2 linked regions of the Alligator mississippiensis genome follow. The protein of the gene in region 2 binds, or shares a complex with, the protein of the main gene of each other region. Links are inferred from orthologs where the notes say so. Each region holds a gene or a part of one and is shown on either strand. Other genes may lie near its edges.

Region 1 (7,343 bases), on a different chromosome or scaffold from region 2:
AGCACATGCAGAGGCATGTCTCTCTGGAAATGTTCAGGGCCCTACTGCAGATACTGTCCTCTGAGTACAGACAGCTTCACTTAAAAGACACCCAGATCCATTCTGATGGGGAAGTTCCCAACAGGAGAGCTGCCATGACAATAACTAAGCCACATGCATATTTATATAGTGATGTGCAACAAGGAAAATTATATGGCCATTATGTGGATTGTGAAAGGTGCCTTGCTAAAGAAATACCATTATACTTGTAACTTTCTCTCTCCAACTTTCTTTTCTTTTTTAATATATCCAACCTTCTTTCAATCTGCTCTGTGTACAAAAGGTTGCTTCCTAAAAGATCAAGGCTGAGACTCAGATGTTTCAGGGAATTATAAAAGGCCACTCCTACATACGCCCATGTGCCACCACCTTCTGCTACTTTAGCAAGACAGGTGAAATTATATGTGCAAGGCAGGAAGTGCCATGTCCATATCTGAAAACCAGCAGCAATGAGCTAGGGGAACGGGCTATTTTTGTTAAGTATAATTTCCCTACCCTCTTGCTCCTTCCAGGGTATGAGACTTGGTTACCTTAAACCACTAAATGGTTACCTTAAACCACTAAATACAGCTATCATCCAGCTCAATGTGAAGGAAGCCCCCCTCATACACAGCAAAGTAGCCCTGCATACCAAGCTGTCAAACTACTGTCATTCTAGAGTACCTTTGCCTTTGGGTGCTGGCACCCTGGCAGCACGCATGTCTGCAGAACTAAGAAAACAGGACCTGACCTACTTCCTGCCTCATCATTACCATTTCAAGTGCCTCTGCAGGGTTGTGGCAGAAATGCACTTCCTTTTTCTGAAATGGGGAAAGCATCTAGTAGGGAAGCTAACCACTTGCTAGTTTAAGCAGGCAAAATGGCAGCTGCAAACAGTGTTTGTGTAGAAATAGTTCACAACAGCCAGAGCAGTGCTTATTCAAGGTAAGAAACTAATTTAGCCTTTATCCCCTCCAATGGCAACCCGAGTTTGGAGATGCAATAACCTAGGCCTGGTTGTTTTGCTGAGGCCATGTGTTAGAATCCAGGCCCCCCACTCTAACTCAGGCTGAAACCAAACCACAGCAGTGAGGAAACGGGCTACATCACTTCTGTTTTTTTTAATAATTCAAGTGTCCCCCCCCCCCCCGCACTACTGACTCGTAATGAAATCTAGGGCGTTTCAGCCCAAAGACCAGTTTCAATGACAGATCCTTTTGTGCATTCCAAGTCATTATTTTGAAGAGGATTTTGCTTCTGCTGTAAAATAACCCACTACTGGTATCTATTTTATGCCACAGCGACCAAATTCTGTCCGTTCTACTTCATTATCAACATTTTATATTGTAGTCTTCATTAAAAAAAGTAGGTAATCATGTTTCAAAACAATCTGGTTAAATCATACCACTATATCCCACTACTGACTTAATTCTGCATTAATGAAGTGAACAGGTGCTGGACTAGAGGTTGCTGTCTGCCTACATTTAAGTCACTGATTATCAGTGACTCAGAAACATCACTGGAAGAGATAGTTACGGACCTTCAGAGGTAAACTTGCATGCAGCGAAACGCAGAGTTGGGGCCTAGGTATGCTAGGCAAACCTACCGAATCAGCTGTTAAGCTAGGTTTAAAAAAAGAACGGCCCGATGAGGAAACGGAGTGAAAGCAGAAGACTGCGGCTGCTTCTTTCTGCTGGCTTGGCAAAATCAAATCCACGCAACACAAGACCTGAAAGCATCTCTGACATTTACTTCTATTAGTTGCCAGTCTTCTCATCTGTAATATTGCCTGTACAGTAAAGCCACTGAGGAACAGCAGAGCAAACCATCCTTTCCTTGTCTAGTGACGCTAATGAGTTTAGAAAGAATCGTGACTTAAAAAGCCTCATTTAAGACGCAACCCCTCCTCCCCCAAAAGCTATTTTTATTTTACCAGTAGAAGTAATGCTCGATTATTTATTTAAAACAGAGATTTCTTCCCCCTATCTGTTTGCGTGAGACAGACAACCCTCTAGGGCTACTCGAGCGTTGATGTTTCTCCTGTGCAACCACTTGTTCCTCCCATTGACGAAAACAATCCCAGGGCGTTTTTAAAATAAACGAACGAAGGACTAAACAAATACATACAACTCAGGGCCCTGGTAAGAGCGACAGGAAACAAACCAAATAATCGGACAAGGTGAGGGCTGAAAGGGACCTCAAGGGGCTCGACGCGGGACCATCGGGAGCACCCTCCGGCGAGCTGAAGGGCTTTGAGCTGGTTTGAAAAGGGGCGAGATTTCAACCCATCTTTCATTGCGGCAGCAAGCGGGGGAGCCTCGCACCCGACTGCAGAGCTGGGACCAGGCCAGACGCTGCATTTCACATCTGAAATGCAGGAGGGGCTCTTTGGCTTGCCAACGGTTCGGCCGGGATATCCAGGAGAGCTGGAAGCGAGGCCGAAACAGGCTAGAGGCCTCCCCTTGCGTCGCTCGCTTGCCTTTCGCGTCAGTGGGACTGTGGCAGTGTGTGATCCATCCAGCCAGGGAGCCGTGCACCAAGCCCAGGTGCGGCTGGCGGGGTCTTTGCTCGGCTGGGGACGAAGAAACAAGCTTGCAGACCAAGAAAAGTGCTCGCCTCTTGCGTTGGGTTTGGGGGGACGTCCCCAGCATGAAGCCAGAGACCCCGTCCGCCGCACCTGGGCAGGGGCTGGTGTTTGTAGCGCGCTGCTTGCTGAAATGAAAGACCAGTGGTGTTGACAACGGGTCAAACCTAGTCTCGGGGCCGCTTCTAGCGCTGCCTGAGGCTGCTCGTGCTCCCGGCCGAGGCACTGGATTGATTCCTTCGTTGGTTTTATATCTATTTTTTGGGGAGCTGGTGCCACAGGAGCGGAGAGGGGCCCGGCCCCGCGACAAGCCCCCGCCACTAGCGATGCGGGCGCAAGAGGGAAACCCCCGAGACCGCCCTACCTTCTCCTCATCCGACACCCGATCCTCCAAGTCCGCCATCTTGACTCCACGGCCGCCGCCGCGCCGAGCACGCCGGGAACCGCAGCGTTGCCGGAACCGGATACTCTCCCCACCTTGGTGAAGCTGCCCTCGCCATCTTGGGAGTGGGCAGCTGTGTGGGGGAAGGGCATGTGAGGCGCCATTTTGGTGGAGGGCATTGCTGAGGAGCAAGGAAGCCGCCGCCGCCATTTTGGGAGTGGGCAGCTGTATGTGTGGGGGAAGTGGAATGTGAGGCGCCATCTTGGTGAAGGGCATTGCTGAGGCGCGAGGAAGCCGCCCCCGCCATCTTGGGGGTGGGCAGCTGAGGGGAGCTAAGTGTGCTTGTATGGCTCCGAAGTAGTAGCCCATGTAAACGCGCTGCCCCCGCCCGCATGGAACCAGACGCAGCCTGGCTGCCCTATTGCTAGCCTCTCTCTTGGGAGAAGGACAAGGCGGCAGTTATTCCTTCACCAACCGTGCCATGAATGTAACGTGCAGCGAGGGCCGGACCTGCCAGGCGGGGCCCAGGGGCGCCTCTCAGGCCGGCCAGTGCCCTCTGCAGAGTGGGCAAAGCGACAGCCCCAGGCACTGTCGGGCGCAGCCGTGACTGGGCTCTGCTCCCGACCCGGGCAGGGGGACGGCAGCAAACCCACGGGGCCACGCGCCCCCCCCGAGCGGTGCAGCACAGGCCCAGGCCCTGCCCAGGGTGGGTGCCGCCGGCCCAGCGCCGCTTGCTCGTGGCGCTTGCGACCGCTGCGGGTGCTGAGGACAGGCCGAGGGGAATGGGCGTGTTCAGACTGCAGAAGGGAAGACTGAGGGGACTAGATAGCAGGAGGATGGAGCTGCCCTGGCCTCGGTGGGGACGGACGACCGCACAAGGAGCAACGGGCTCACGTTGCAGCAAGGGAGGTTGAGGTTGGATATTAGGGAAAACTCCCTCGCTCCGAGGTGGTGAAGCACGGGACAGGCCCCCCAGAGCGGTGGTGAGTCTCCATCCCTGGAGGGGTTTACCACCCGGGTAGACACGGCTTTGTGTGGGACGACGTAGCTGGGGCCGGCTCTGCCTGCAGCAGGGGTGGGACTGCGTGCGACTCCCAAGGAGAAGGATCCAACCCTCATTTTTGTGTGATGATGTGACTGCTCTCCATGGGGCAGACGGCAGCACGCGGGGCCACGGGCTCCGGCTGCAGCGGGGGAAGCTGAGCTTAGACATAAGGAACCACGTCCCCAGCAGGAGGGCCGTAAAGGTCCCCAGGCAGGGGGTAAATCTCCACCCTTGCAGGTGTTGAAAACCGGGGTGGACGCAGCTTTGTCTGGGGTGATGTAGCTGGGGCTGGTCCTGCTTGGCTCAGGGGTGGGACTCCCCTGGGGCAGGATGCAACCCTCCCTTTTGTGCAGTGCTGCATCACAGGGGCAATGGGCTCCAGCTGCAGCAGGGGAAGCTGAGCTGGGAGATGAGGAACCAGTTTCTCAGCAGGAGGGTTGTAAAGCTCCCCTTGGGGGTGTTTAAAACAGGGGTGGACGCAGTTTTGCCTAAGATGAAGTCGCTGGGGCTGGTCCTGCTTGGAGCAGGGGTTACACTAAGTGCGCCTCTCAAGGGGAAGGGTGTATCCCTCCCTTTTGTGCAGTGCTGCAGCACAGGGGCAATGGGCTCCAGCTGCAGCAGGGGAAGCTGAGCTGGGAGATGAGGAGGGTAGTAAAGCCCCCAGAGAGGGGGTGACTCCCCATGCCTGGAGGTGTTTGGACGGGGTGGGGACAGCTTGCTCTGGGATGAAGCAGCTGGGGCGGGGGCTGCTGGGGGCAGGGTGCAGCCCGCACGTGTGTGCAGGGAGAGGAGTGCTGCCCGGGGGCTCGTGCCGGCGCGGTGCGAGGCGGCCACGTGCAGCCGGCGGGGCTCGCGCTGATTGCGGCGCTGCCTATGGAGGCGCTGGCCGGGCTGCGGCTGGCTCCGGCTGCCGTGCCCCCGCCCTCTCCCTCTCTCTCTCCCTCTCCCAGGGTTCCCGGCTGGGCCATGGCGGAGAGCGGCGGTGTCGGCGGCGGGGAGGCGCGGTGTCGGCGGCGGCTGCGGCGGGGGGCGGCGGGGCTGGCGCTGCTGGCCGCCCCCGCGCTGCTCTACGCGCTGCGGGACAGGCTGGCGGCCGGTGAGGGCTGTGGGCCCCCAGGAGGGGGGGAGCGGGGCAGGGCCCCGACGCCTCCCAGAGAGCTGGCATGGGGGCACCCGCGTCCCCCTCCTCCCCGCATGGGTGCCGTGCACTCGCAGGGGCGGCCCGCGCAAAGGACCGGGGTTCGCTCTTCATGCAGGGCCGAGACGAGGTTTTGGGGACAGGCCCCTCGAATGCCAGGCTTGGCAGCGTTCACGGGGTCCTGCTTTGTCCCGTGCTGGTTTCCAAAAACACGTACGAAATATCACGATGAGCGTGCCAGGCAGGTGGTTCCCTTGGATCTTAGGAGAGGCTGGGGCAGCCCCCCAAAAAGAGGGATTTGCTGCGTTTCCAGGGTGGCCATCCTAAAGGACATTCTGGTTTTCTTCTGCTCTGTTGATACAAAACCCGACACCTCTGAGCCCTTTATTTTAAGAGAAAAATAGAGGGCGTAACGGTTTCATATCTATAGACGACAGCCACACAGTTCTCTCTGATAGTCACCCCACGTGTTTCTGAAACCACACGTCTCACCGTTCAAAGGGCCTCCTGCGGTTACGGGGTGGCACGTGTGTATGGACTTACTGCCGGCTGCTTTCGAGCTCACCCCACCGATCCTGCACGTATTGGGGGGGCAGATCTGTCTCTGCCGCGTGTCCATATTGCGCGTGGAACTGGAAACGTCCCCCAGGCCTGCTTTCGGGTTTATTTGAGCCACGGTAGATTGTCTTTGTGAATCTGTACATAACGTCATTGGCCACAACCACGTACAGGCTGAGTGTGCTGGCTTCCCAGCACCCGTGGTTTCAGCTTGGCTTGGGGTGTCACCTGGTACTGGGGGTTATTGGAAAAACTAAATGCTGTACGGCACCCCACCACCATGCTCCTAGTCTGCTTTATTGCCTGCAGACACGTTTAAAATTGCCTCGATAGGTTGTTTCCGAAGCATGTAGGAGTCTCTGAGGTGTAGGAAGCACGACACCCATCCCGATTAGCGTTTAGAACGGTGCAGCGAAAAAGGGACGATGCAGGAGTTTTCTAGGTGAAGGTCTAGCAAAGGACAAGGGTTTCGTGACTTTGCAGTAGTCACAAGTGTCATTAAAAATTGAAGGGACCCTGGATGGCCGTGCTTGTGGCTGAGCTCGTGAGGCTTCAGGTTTATTGTCATCAGCTGCCTCTCCTTCCCCTCTTTAATGGGACAGGGGTTCATTAATTAGCACCTGGGCCTGCTGCTTAGCGTTCCCTGTTCTGCCTCCTCTCAGAGAGGTCACTTCCACAGTAGACAACGCGGTTGGGTTTTTAGCCCAGAGGACAGTGTCTCTTCAGAGGTGTGAAAGAGCTGTTATTTTTGCAGGACATCTTTTGCCACTATGAACTCTGATGCAGGTGTGTGACTTTCCAGTGAAAGTCAAATAAGCTCCTCCCAGGACTGTTGCCTCTTTATTTGAGATGCTGGAGTTTGTGCTGCTGCAGTTCTGCCTGTTTGCAACGCAGCAGACAATTTCTCTTTTCAGGGACTTGTTTCCTTGCTTTTAAAACATTAGCTGATGGTGAGGAACTGATGCTTCAGCGTTTTGATCAGAAGCTGAATACAAGAGTTGATTGGAGCTGGAAGAGCTATGCTGTTACTATAACAGCACCAGTGTCTAGAATAGCATTTTTTTTCTTAGTCTTTTTCCAACCTTATCTCTTTTATCAACAATTGAGACTTGTCTCTTTTCCTTCAGGTGTATTTCTCCCCTTGTTTTTTTTGAAGGTAAAGTGACCCTTCTTGCCAATCCCAGCTGTTGGCTATTTAAATCAGATTTTCTCAAGGCTATTTTCAACCTGCAGCTTCAAATGCAGCCTGACGGTAGTTGTTGAGTCCCAGTGCTAAACAGGTGGTGGGTGTGACACAGGTCTCCCCTTAGTGGAGCTGTCTGCCTCTAGCTTTCTCCCAGTTGCAGCTTCCCTGCAGGACTGGATTAGGGTTTAGAAAAGTATGTTTGCTCCTGAGTAGCAGTCTGAAAGACAGCATAGAAGCACAGAGGACCGCTCTTCTGTTGCACTGGAAATGGGTAAATAAAGGCAGGGGGTGTAAATCAGTGACTGCACTATGTGACCTAAACACATTCACTTTTGGCATGCTCTTTGTTGCAGTGGTTTTTGGATGTGGGATCCAGTTGCCCTTACTGTTAGTTCCCAGTGGCTGATGGCGTGCTGGACAAGACCATGTTCC
Region 2 (8,044 bases):
TGGAGTCCTAGTGGACTCCAAGATGAACATGAGTTGGCAGTGTGACGAAGCCATCAAAAAAGCCAATGGCACTTTATCGTGCATCAGCAGATGCATGACGAATAGGTCCAAGGAGGTGATACTTCCCCTCTATCGGGCGCTGGTCAGACCGCAGTTGGAGTACTGCGTGCAATTCTGGGTGCCACACTTTAAGAAGGATGCGGATAACCTGGAGAGGGTCCAGAGAAGGGCCACTCGTATGGTTAAGGGCCTGCAGACCAAGCCCTACGAGGAGAGACTAGAGAAACTGGACCTTTTCAGCCTCTGCAAGAGAAGGTTGAGAGGCAACCTTGTGGCTGCCTATAAATTCATCACAGGGGCACAGAAAGGAATTGGTGAGTATTTATTCACCAAGGCGCCCCCGGGGGTTACAAGAAACAATGGCCACAAGCTAGCAGAGAGCAGATTTAGATGGGTCATTAGGAAGAACTTCTTCACAGTCAGAGTGGCCAAGGTCTGGAACGGGCTCCCAAGGGAGGTGGTGCTCTCCCCTACCCTGGGGGTCTTCAAGAGGAGGTTAGATGAGTATCTAGCTGGGGTCATCTAGACCCAGCACTCTTTCCTGCTTATGCAGGGGGTCGGACTCGATGATCTATTGAGGTCCCTTCCGACCCTAACATCTATGAATCTATAACAGGATCTAGGAGGTGCCTGCTGCCATTTTTCAGCATGGGGACACTGGCACACATAATGCTCCAGGTGCTTTAATAAGAGTGGTTCTTGGAGTCGCTCTAATTAAAGCAGCTCTGCTCCCTCCTCCCCCCTTCCCTGGTGCACATATATAAATGCCCATAGCGAGTGGGATTTGACAGCACTGTGATACAATAACAATGTCAGGTCTAGAGAAGTGCTCCCATGGTGGTGTTATACTGCTGCTAATGTAAACAGGAGAGATGTTAAGGGAAAAGATAATATAGATAAGGTCTTCAGGATAATGTACAAATAATCTGGAACACAACTACCAATAGCTCCAATGGAACAAGTATGTACAGAAATCCAGATAGATCACAGTCACAAAAGAACCCTCCACCTGGAATGTTGCATGTTCTTAACATGGACTAAACAAATGTGATTTAGAAAGGCTATTGCACAGAAGCAATGAAGAAAACACCAACAGAATAGTTCATTATTCTCTAGGTGTTGGGCTTTAAGTAAAATGTCCTTTTTCCCTACATTGACTATATAAATATCTTAAAGTAACTTTCAGTGACTCTTATTGTTGTGTGGTTACTTTTCACTATGTACTAAAATAAATACATAAATAAAATATTTATTTAATCAGATCCCTGAATATTTCCATCAAATGTCTGAATTATTCTTAGCTTTGTACTTTCTGGGGACCCAGAGGCTTTAGTACAGGGGTGAGCAATTATTTTGGGCAAAGGGCCACTTACTGAGTTTTGGCAAGCCATTGAAGGCCACATGACAGGCAGCCCAGGGCAGATAAATATTAATTTTCTCAATTTTTTAGGGGCCCCATGGGCCAGATAGAATGGCCTGGCAGGCCACATTTTGCCCACCCCTGGGTCAGGTGCTTAAGTTGAAAATGACCACCAATATCAGTTGTATGTTAAAGACTAATTGAGTACTGGCACAGTCCCAGGTTTGGTTCCTGTCCTTGCCACTGAACTGATGGAGAGCATTGTGCAAATCACTTTCCTGTGCTCTTATGCATAATTTTGTCCATCCATAAATGCAGACAACAGAAGTGCCTTGTTTTGTAAAATGCTTTAAAAATTATGTATGAAAAGTACTTTATGGAATCACATTACTGTGTACGCAATTGCTTTTCTATCACATATTGCTCTATACTTTTGGAGCAACGGATCTCTTTCATCTTTTTTTTGGTGGGGGAGTGGGGCAGAAGCTTTATTTAAAAGTGTTAACAGCCTAAGGCAGAGGGACCCTTATTTATTCTGAAGGAGCGAGAGGGGGTGTGATTTTGGATGTTGGAATGAAATCATAAGCTCTTTTGTGCCTGTAAGTACAGCTCAAGTGTCACGGGGGGGTCCTACAGGAGGGCCGTGAACTCCTTGAGGCCCCTTCCTCCGTGCCAAATCAGCCCAAGGGCACCCTCTATTCTTACCCACCACGTCTTTGATGTTAGGTTAAGTTGGGAGGCTGCCTCACGTCTCCTTGGGCACAGTTAGCTGGGACCTCTGTCCCCGTGTTTTCCCGGACCCACCAGGGGTCTCCTCGTATGATGGGTGCTTCCCAGGCACCCTAGCCTTATGAGCTACACGTGGCTCCAGCCACCCCCGATACCACGCCCCAAGCCTCGCAGATGGAATAGATGTTGGTGTGTCTCTGCCTATATTCATGCCCGTTTCTCGGGCCTTCTCTGTTATGCTGCCCCCTCCTGGGCTCTCCAAGCCCCCTCGGGGCCTTCTCTGTGATGTCACCCCTCTCTGGGGCCTCCTGTGTACACCTGCCCGCTCTCTTGGGCCTCCTCTGTCATGCTGCCCCCCCTCTTGGGCTCTCCGAGCCCACTCGGGGGCTCCCTGTAATGTTGCCCCTCTCTGGGGCCTTCCCTGTAATGTTGCCCCCTTTCCTGGGGACTTCTGCACCCTCTCTGGGACTTCTCGTCAAGCCACCTGTCTTTCAGGCCCAACCGCACTGCTAGCCCTGCTCTCCAGAGCTCACCACACTGCTACCCCCTTTCTCTCAGGGTTCACCGCAGTACACCGCCCTTCTCCGGGGTTTACTGCAGCACTAGGCCTTCCTCAGGGCTTGCCGCGCCCGCCCTGGGGCTCCCTAATAATACTGCCCCCTCACTGGCGCTGGGGCCCGCACCCCCCTGGGGCTCCCTATGAAGCCTCCTCCAACCCCTAATAGCCTCACCCTAGCCACCGGTGTAATAAACAACAACAAAACCACAAGCCCCTAGGCTACAACATAACTATAAGCCATCTGGCTAAACCATGGTGATCAAACCTCTTTGAGCTGCCCTCCTTCACTCAGCTAGAGCGGTTCCCACAATGCTCGCATCCTAGCTCCAGGATCTCCTGCCTCCCCGGCCGCTGGCAGAGAACTGCCAGCTTGGCTTCAGCTCTGGGCTTTATAAGGGCCAGGCCTTGCCCCTTACAGCCAACTAACCACTGTCAGGTGTCAGTCATTCGCTGCCTCCAGTTGCCCTGGCAACCTGCAGCTGTGCTCGTTATGTCCTGCTCTCTCTCCCTGGTAGTTTCCACTCTCTAGGAGCAGGGCACCAAGGTGCCCTGCAACACCAAGTCAAAAACATTTAGGCTCTGAAAACCCAGTTTGCAGGGGAGGAATCAGTATTATTATGGGATAATGATCTGACTTTTTACCTTTGAACAGAATGAATGAGCTGTGGGGTTGTTACGTTCCTAGGTCCTGACCAGCCACCAGTTATTTTAGTGGCTTCTGGGTCAGGCCCCTAGTCACTGTTGAAGGTAAATTTTTTTCTACATTCTGAACCACCACATAATTGGTAGTTGTACGACAGGTAAGATCCAGGCTAAATAGTCAGGGAAGCTTGTGCAGAATTATTGCTGAGTGCCAAACTAAGTGTTCTAGACTTGGCTCTGGCTGGCTGGCATATGACTTTGCTTTCAGGTTTGCTTACCTTATTGTTAGGGTACCTTATTGTTTTTTAAAGGAAGGTTACTTTTTATTTTACTCCATTGCTAACATTTTCAAAATAGGATGCACAGGATTTTGGGGTTCACAGGGTTAGAACAGGCTTTGATTTCTTTTTTTTTTGTTTTACACGCACCTCACTTTCTTCCACTAGGTCTAAATTCAGTGCAGCTATGAATTGGGTCACATGTTTAAAGTAATACATAAAAATTGTTGTGTTAATTCGTTCACTCTTCTGTTTGCACCCCACCCTTTACCCAATAAAATACAATGAGGCCTTTTTGTAGCAGACACAGATGAAAAAGCCAGTTTCCTTCTTTGTCGCTGATAAGTGTATGCGCACCAGGCTCTGAGTGACAATAAGATACTGACTGATGGGTCTTCTGTACTATTAAAAGAAACAAGAGCAGGAGACCTGGGAGATGGTAAGTAGCATGCTTCTACTTTAAGCGTAGGGGCTTAGTTGCAAAGCTAGTAGCATACAACGGTTTCTGAAGAGTCAGAGATCATGCAGATACATCCAACCGTCTCTAAAAGCTAATTCTATAACGAATTGTTCTTTCTTGAAGCTGACTCGCTAACTCACAAATGTGGCAACTCACAAATGAGGCAATGAAGGCAATTAATTGGGAATCCTCAACTGAATCCTAAATCCCATAGGATGGGAAGAAACCTAGACTATTGGGCAGACAACTGTGGATGAGGCTCATACTCCAAAGCCTGATTCAAAGCCTATCAAAATCAAGGGAAATCTCCACAGTAACTGAGAATCTTATCCAAAGTACAGTGAAATCAGCAAAAATAAACAAAAAAACCTCCATGTGAGCAAATATGAATGAGTCCTAAATGTTTGTTAAATACAGTCAGCCAGTCTATTGGGAAGGAATAGATTTCAGAAAGATTTCATGAACAATGAGGGGAAAATCTTGAATTACTGGTGAAAAAGCACCTACCTGCTCCTTCCCTCACTACTGTGCTGTTCACTAACGAAGGATTCAGTCATGCCCCTGGGGCCTCCTTGCTATTCCTGCAGAAGGCATCTGCTACTTTCCAGATTCTCAGGAGAACTCTCTGGAGAAATAGCATGAATAGATGATGAACATTGGCTCTGCAGAGATATAGCTGGGGGGACTTTCAGGCTTGGGAGCCACGAATTCAAAAAGTCCCAGAGATGGAAGTCACCTGGAAGCTCAGAGATAAAGGCACAAGTCCACTGTTAAGGACGATCTGCCGGGTTGGTCCTCCCCTCAGCAGGATACTTGCTTGCTCTTGAGGGGATTGGATGAATAAAGAGAAAGCTCTAGAGGGGTTTCCCCTGCAGAAACTTCTGTCCCTAGCCAGGCACTGTTGTAAAAGGGCCAATCCAGCCCTGCAGTAATTGCAATCTCCAGTCAAGTGTAAATGCCATCTGTTCATTTATTTCTACAAATTGATGCTCTCTTGTTACCCCTTAGCAGGGGAAATTCTGTTGACTCCAGGAATACGATTCAGTGGTGTCTGAAAGTGCAGACTGACTGCTTGAAAGCTCAAGAGCTATAAGCCTTGTGCTACGGTAAACAGGCGGCTGGTTGTGCACAAAGACCTTATGGCTTACACAAAATCAGAGCTAATGCACATATTGAGCTGGGGCTCAGACCCTGGGACAGTACCAGCACCCATTCCATCCCTCCAGCTGGGATCACCATCATGGGAAAACATTCTTCAGAGGTGTCCTTTTGCTTTAAGGAGGGGTGCAGGTCTTGGCCATACCACCAAGGGACAGTGTGGGGGTAAGGATGAAAAGCAAATTTTGTTTTTTCTTGCTGATACTGAACATAGCTGAAGGATTAGGCACTCAAGATTTTGGCACATATCTTGATATCCCCTATGAGAAGATGCAGCATAGGGTGCAGGCATATGTAACCAGGGGCTGCTGTAATACAGTGATTTTCCACTCCCTTCTATAAGGCACTCCAAGTAGTCAAAGTGCAGAGCTGACTAATAATCACTGCTCTCTGGTTCCAAAACCTTTTACCCCACCAGCACAAGTTGTGCAGAAGAGTGAAAGAGAACACTTATCATGGCCTGACCTCACCGAGGGAACACATCTACAGCCTGGGTTTTCCTCAGTAGAGACTCTGTGACTCTTTCAAGAAAAAGCACCAAATATCAAAAGAATCACTCAGTAAATGCATAAGAATCATCAATACTGATGCACTTTTATATCACATGAGAGCTGATCTGTGTTATTTTAAGTCAGTTCCTTACTGCATTAAATCAATGCAAGTTGTTTGGCAACTGTTTTAAAAAGGAGGCTTTAAGTTAGTTAAACCTGCGCACCTGTGTTCAGAAAAGGCCTAACAATGCACTAACCTAAATTTTCTAAGCCTGGCCTAATTTCTCAGTGCCTTGTGTAGATATTTACACCAGCACAAGATGAATGAAAAGTACCTATAATATGCTACCAAATCAGAACAGCAATGGTTTGCCCTTGTTTTGTATTGGAGTGAATGACTGCAGCAGAACTATAGCAGCAGCAAAGGAGATCCTGAGGGTGCTGTTTACAGAATCTGCTACAGTGCTGGATTTCTTGTATCTTCTGCTCCCTCTAATGTCTACACTGCAGAACAGCAGAAAAATATTCTAGATAAAATATCTCATAGGATGTTTCCCTGAAAAATCCATATGGCTTTATCTATACAGATATTGCTGAAGTTGAACAACTCCCCCTAGTGGGGACAAGTTATACTGATATGCTCCATAATGGAAATGAAAAAAGCTTCTCAGGCACAAAAACCTTTACACAAGACTTGCTATGATCATACTAGAGTCTCTACATGTATAAATAGTTTAGTAATTAAAAAAAAAAAATCACACCACACCCTAACACATATATCTAAAACTACGCTCCACCTTATATTTCAGCAGCAGCACAGTCAGCTCCTGCTCTCTCTTGAAAATGTGAAGTAGGCGCACTTCTAAAAGCTCTAAAACTGGTAGCCAGATATAAAAAAATTAAAATGTATTAAACAAAAATGTCATAAACCAGTCTTCTGATTTGGGAAACTAGACTCATTTGTTTGCCTGTTTGGATTAGCAATACCATACTAACAGGTTGTGTCTACATTAAATTGTTGTGCTGGGTTAACATAAAGTATGACTTTAAGGCAATTTACCAAGAACTATTTAAATCCTTGTGAAACGTGTTTATTTTTGGTTTAAGAATATTTTACTGATTAATCTTAATTGTTTCCAGTTAATTCAAGGGAGGTGAGGCCAGCTGCGGAGAGGCAGCAGCCAGCATAACTGCCCGAACATACCCAAATTCAACAGTAAGTCATCCCAACCCAGGATGTGCCCATTAAGCCTCTGAGATGCATGGACTTGGGGTGGCGGGGCGAGGGACCAGAGAGTTCACAAAAGGAGGGGAATGAAACCTGGTGGATGAAGAGCAAGGACTGGCCAGAGAAAGGAAGGAACAGGTTATGGGTTCATAGAGAACAGTTGGGGAACGTTTGTAGATGGGAGGGGCTGGCACAGCAAAAACACTACCGTTAACTAAGGGGGAGGTTGTGTTTGTGGATACACAGGCCTGGGAGCCAGAGCTGTTAGGTGCCTGCAGCAGTCACAGTCTCTCGCTCTCATCTGTGCAGTGGGGTAGGAAGAGCTCAATCTGAGCAGGCTTCCCCCACTCACAGCTAGAATAATCTCACACAAGGAGCTATGAACTAGTAGCAGACCTTGGGGTGAATTCAAAGGGGCCTAGGCCAAGGCTTCTGGCCTGGGCCTAGGCCAAGGCTTCTGGCCTGGCCCCAGCATCTCACATTGCTATCATAAGAAACTCCCAGAAATTGCTTCCAAACACAAATTGGTGTATATTAGTTTGCACAATCCAAGGAAATGTGCGATTCAACCTCACAGTTCAGCCAAAGTCCAAAGATGGACCCTACAGTTCCCACAGGAAATGGGATAAAACCAGATCTCTTTATCTAGTGAGGGGGCTTTGCAGCAATTACAGCTTCCCAGGACTATTGTGAATTTACAGTAGCAACCAGGAGACCAAGTCTGTGCAAGGGGAACAAATGATTTGCTGTAGGGCTCACACACCAGATGGAAGATGACTGGGTAGATGTTTGTAGCAAACACTAATGAAGCACAAAGCATATGGAAGGATGGAAAGGTAAGCTGGATTTCTGTAGACTTGATAGGATTAATTCAAGGGTAACAAGTAGGCCTGTGCAAAACAGCTAGTATTCACTTTGGATTCGGCTGATTTGGGGGGGGGGCAGTAATTCAATTTGGCAATTCAAATCACTGTCCCAAAGCGATTTGGACAAATCTGATTCGGAGATTTGTCTACCACCAAATCGGCTGAATCTCCAAATCAAACAGGCCTCATCCCCCACCAACTCTCCCAGTCCCG

Evidence for each region. Proteins that work in one complex are often made in the same cells at the same time.
Region 1: the proteins of S100B (region 2) and CAPZA1 are in contact, whole or in part, in an NMR structure (PDB 1MQ1), measured with the Homo sapiens proteins. The link is inferred for Alligator mississippiensis from reciprocal best matches to the Homo sapiens genes S100B and CAPZA1. Residues at the interface, in NP_006263.1 of Homo sapiens: Glu46, Glu47, Lys49, Val53, Lys56, Val57, Thr60, Phe77, Met80, Val81, Ala84, Cys85, Glu87; in NP_006126.1 of Homo sapiens: Thr265, Arg266, Ile269, Asp270, Trp271, Asn272, Lys273, Ile274, Leu275.

The regions. Positions count from the first base shown.
Region 1 is NC_081837.1:44,706,775-44,714,117, reverse strand, and holds the start of CAPZA1 (F-actin-capping protein subunit alpha-1), read right to left. Parts: upstream 3,060-7,343; 5' UTR 3,006-3,059; coding exon 2,967-3,005; intron 1-2,966. Other genes in the region: ST7L (suppressor of tumorigenicity 7 protein-like), read left to right, coding at 4,996-5,125. UniProt on the Homo sapiens protein: F-actin-capping proteins bind in a Ca(2+)-independent manner to the fast growing ends of actin filaments (barbed end) thereby blocking the exchange of subunits at these ends.
Region 2 is NC_081827.1:188,578,367-188,586,410, reverse strand, and holds the start of S100B (protein S100-B), read right to left. Parts: upstream 3,070-8,044; 5' UTR 2,974-3,069; intron 1-2,973. UniProt on the Homo sapiens protein: Small zinc- and- and calcium-binding protein that is highly expressed in astrocytes and constitutes one of the most abundant soluble proteins in brain.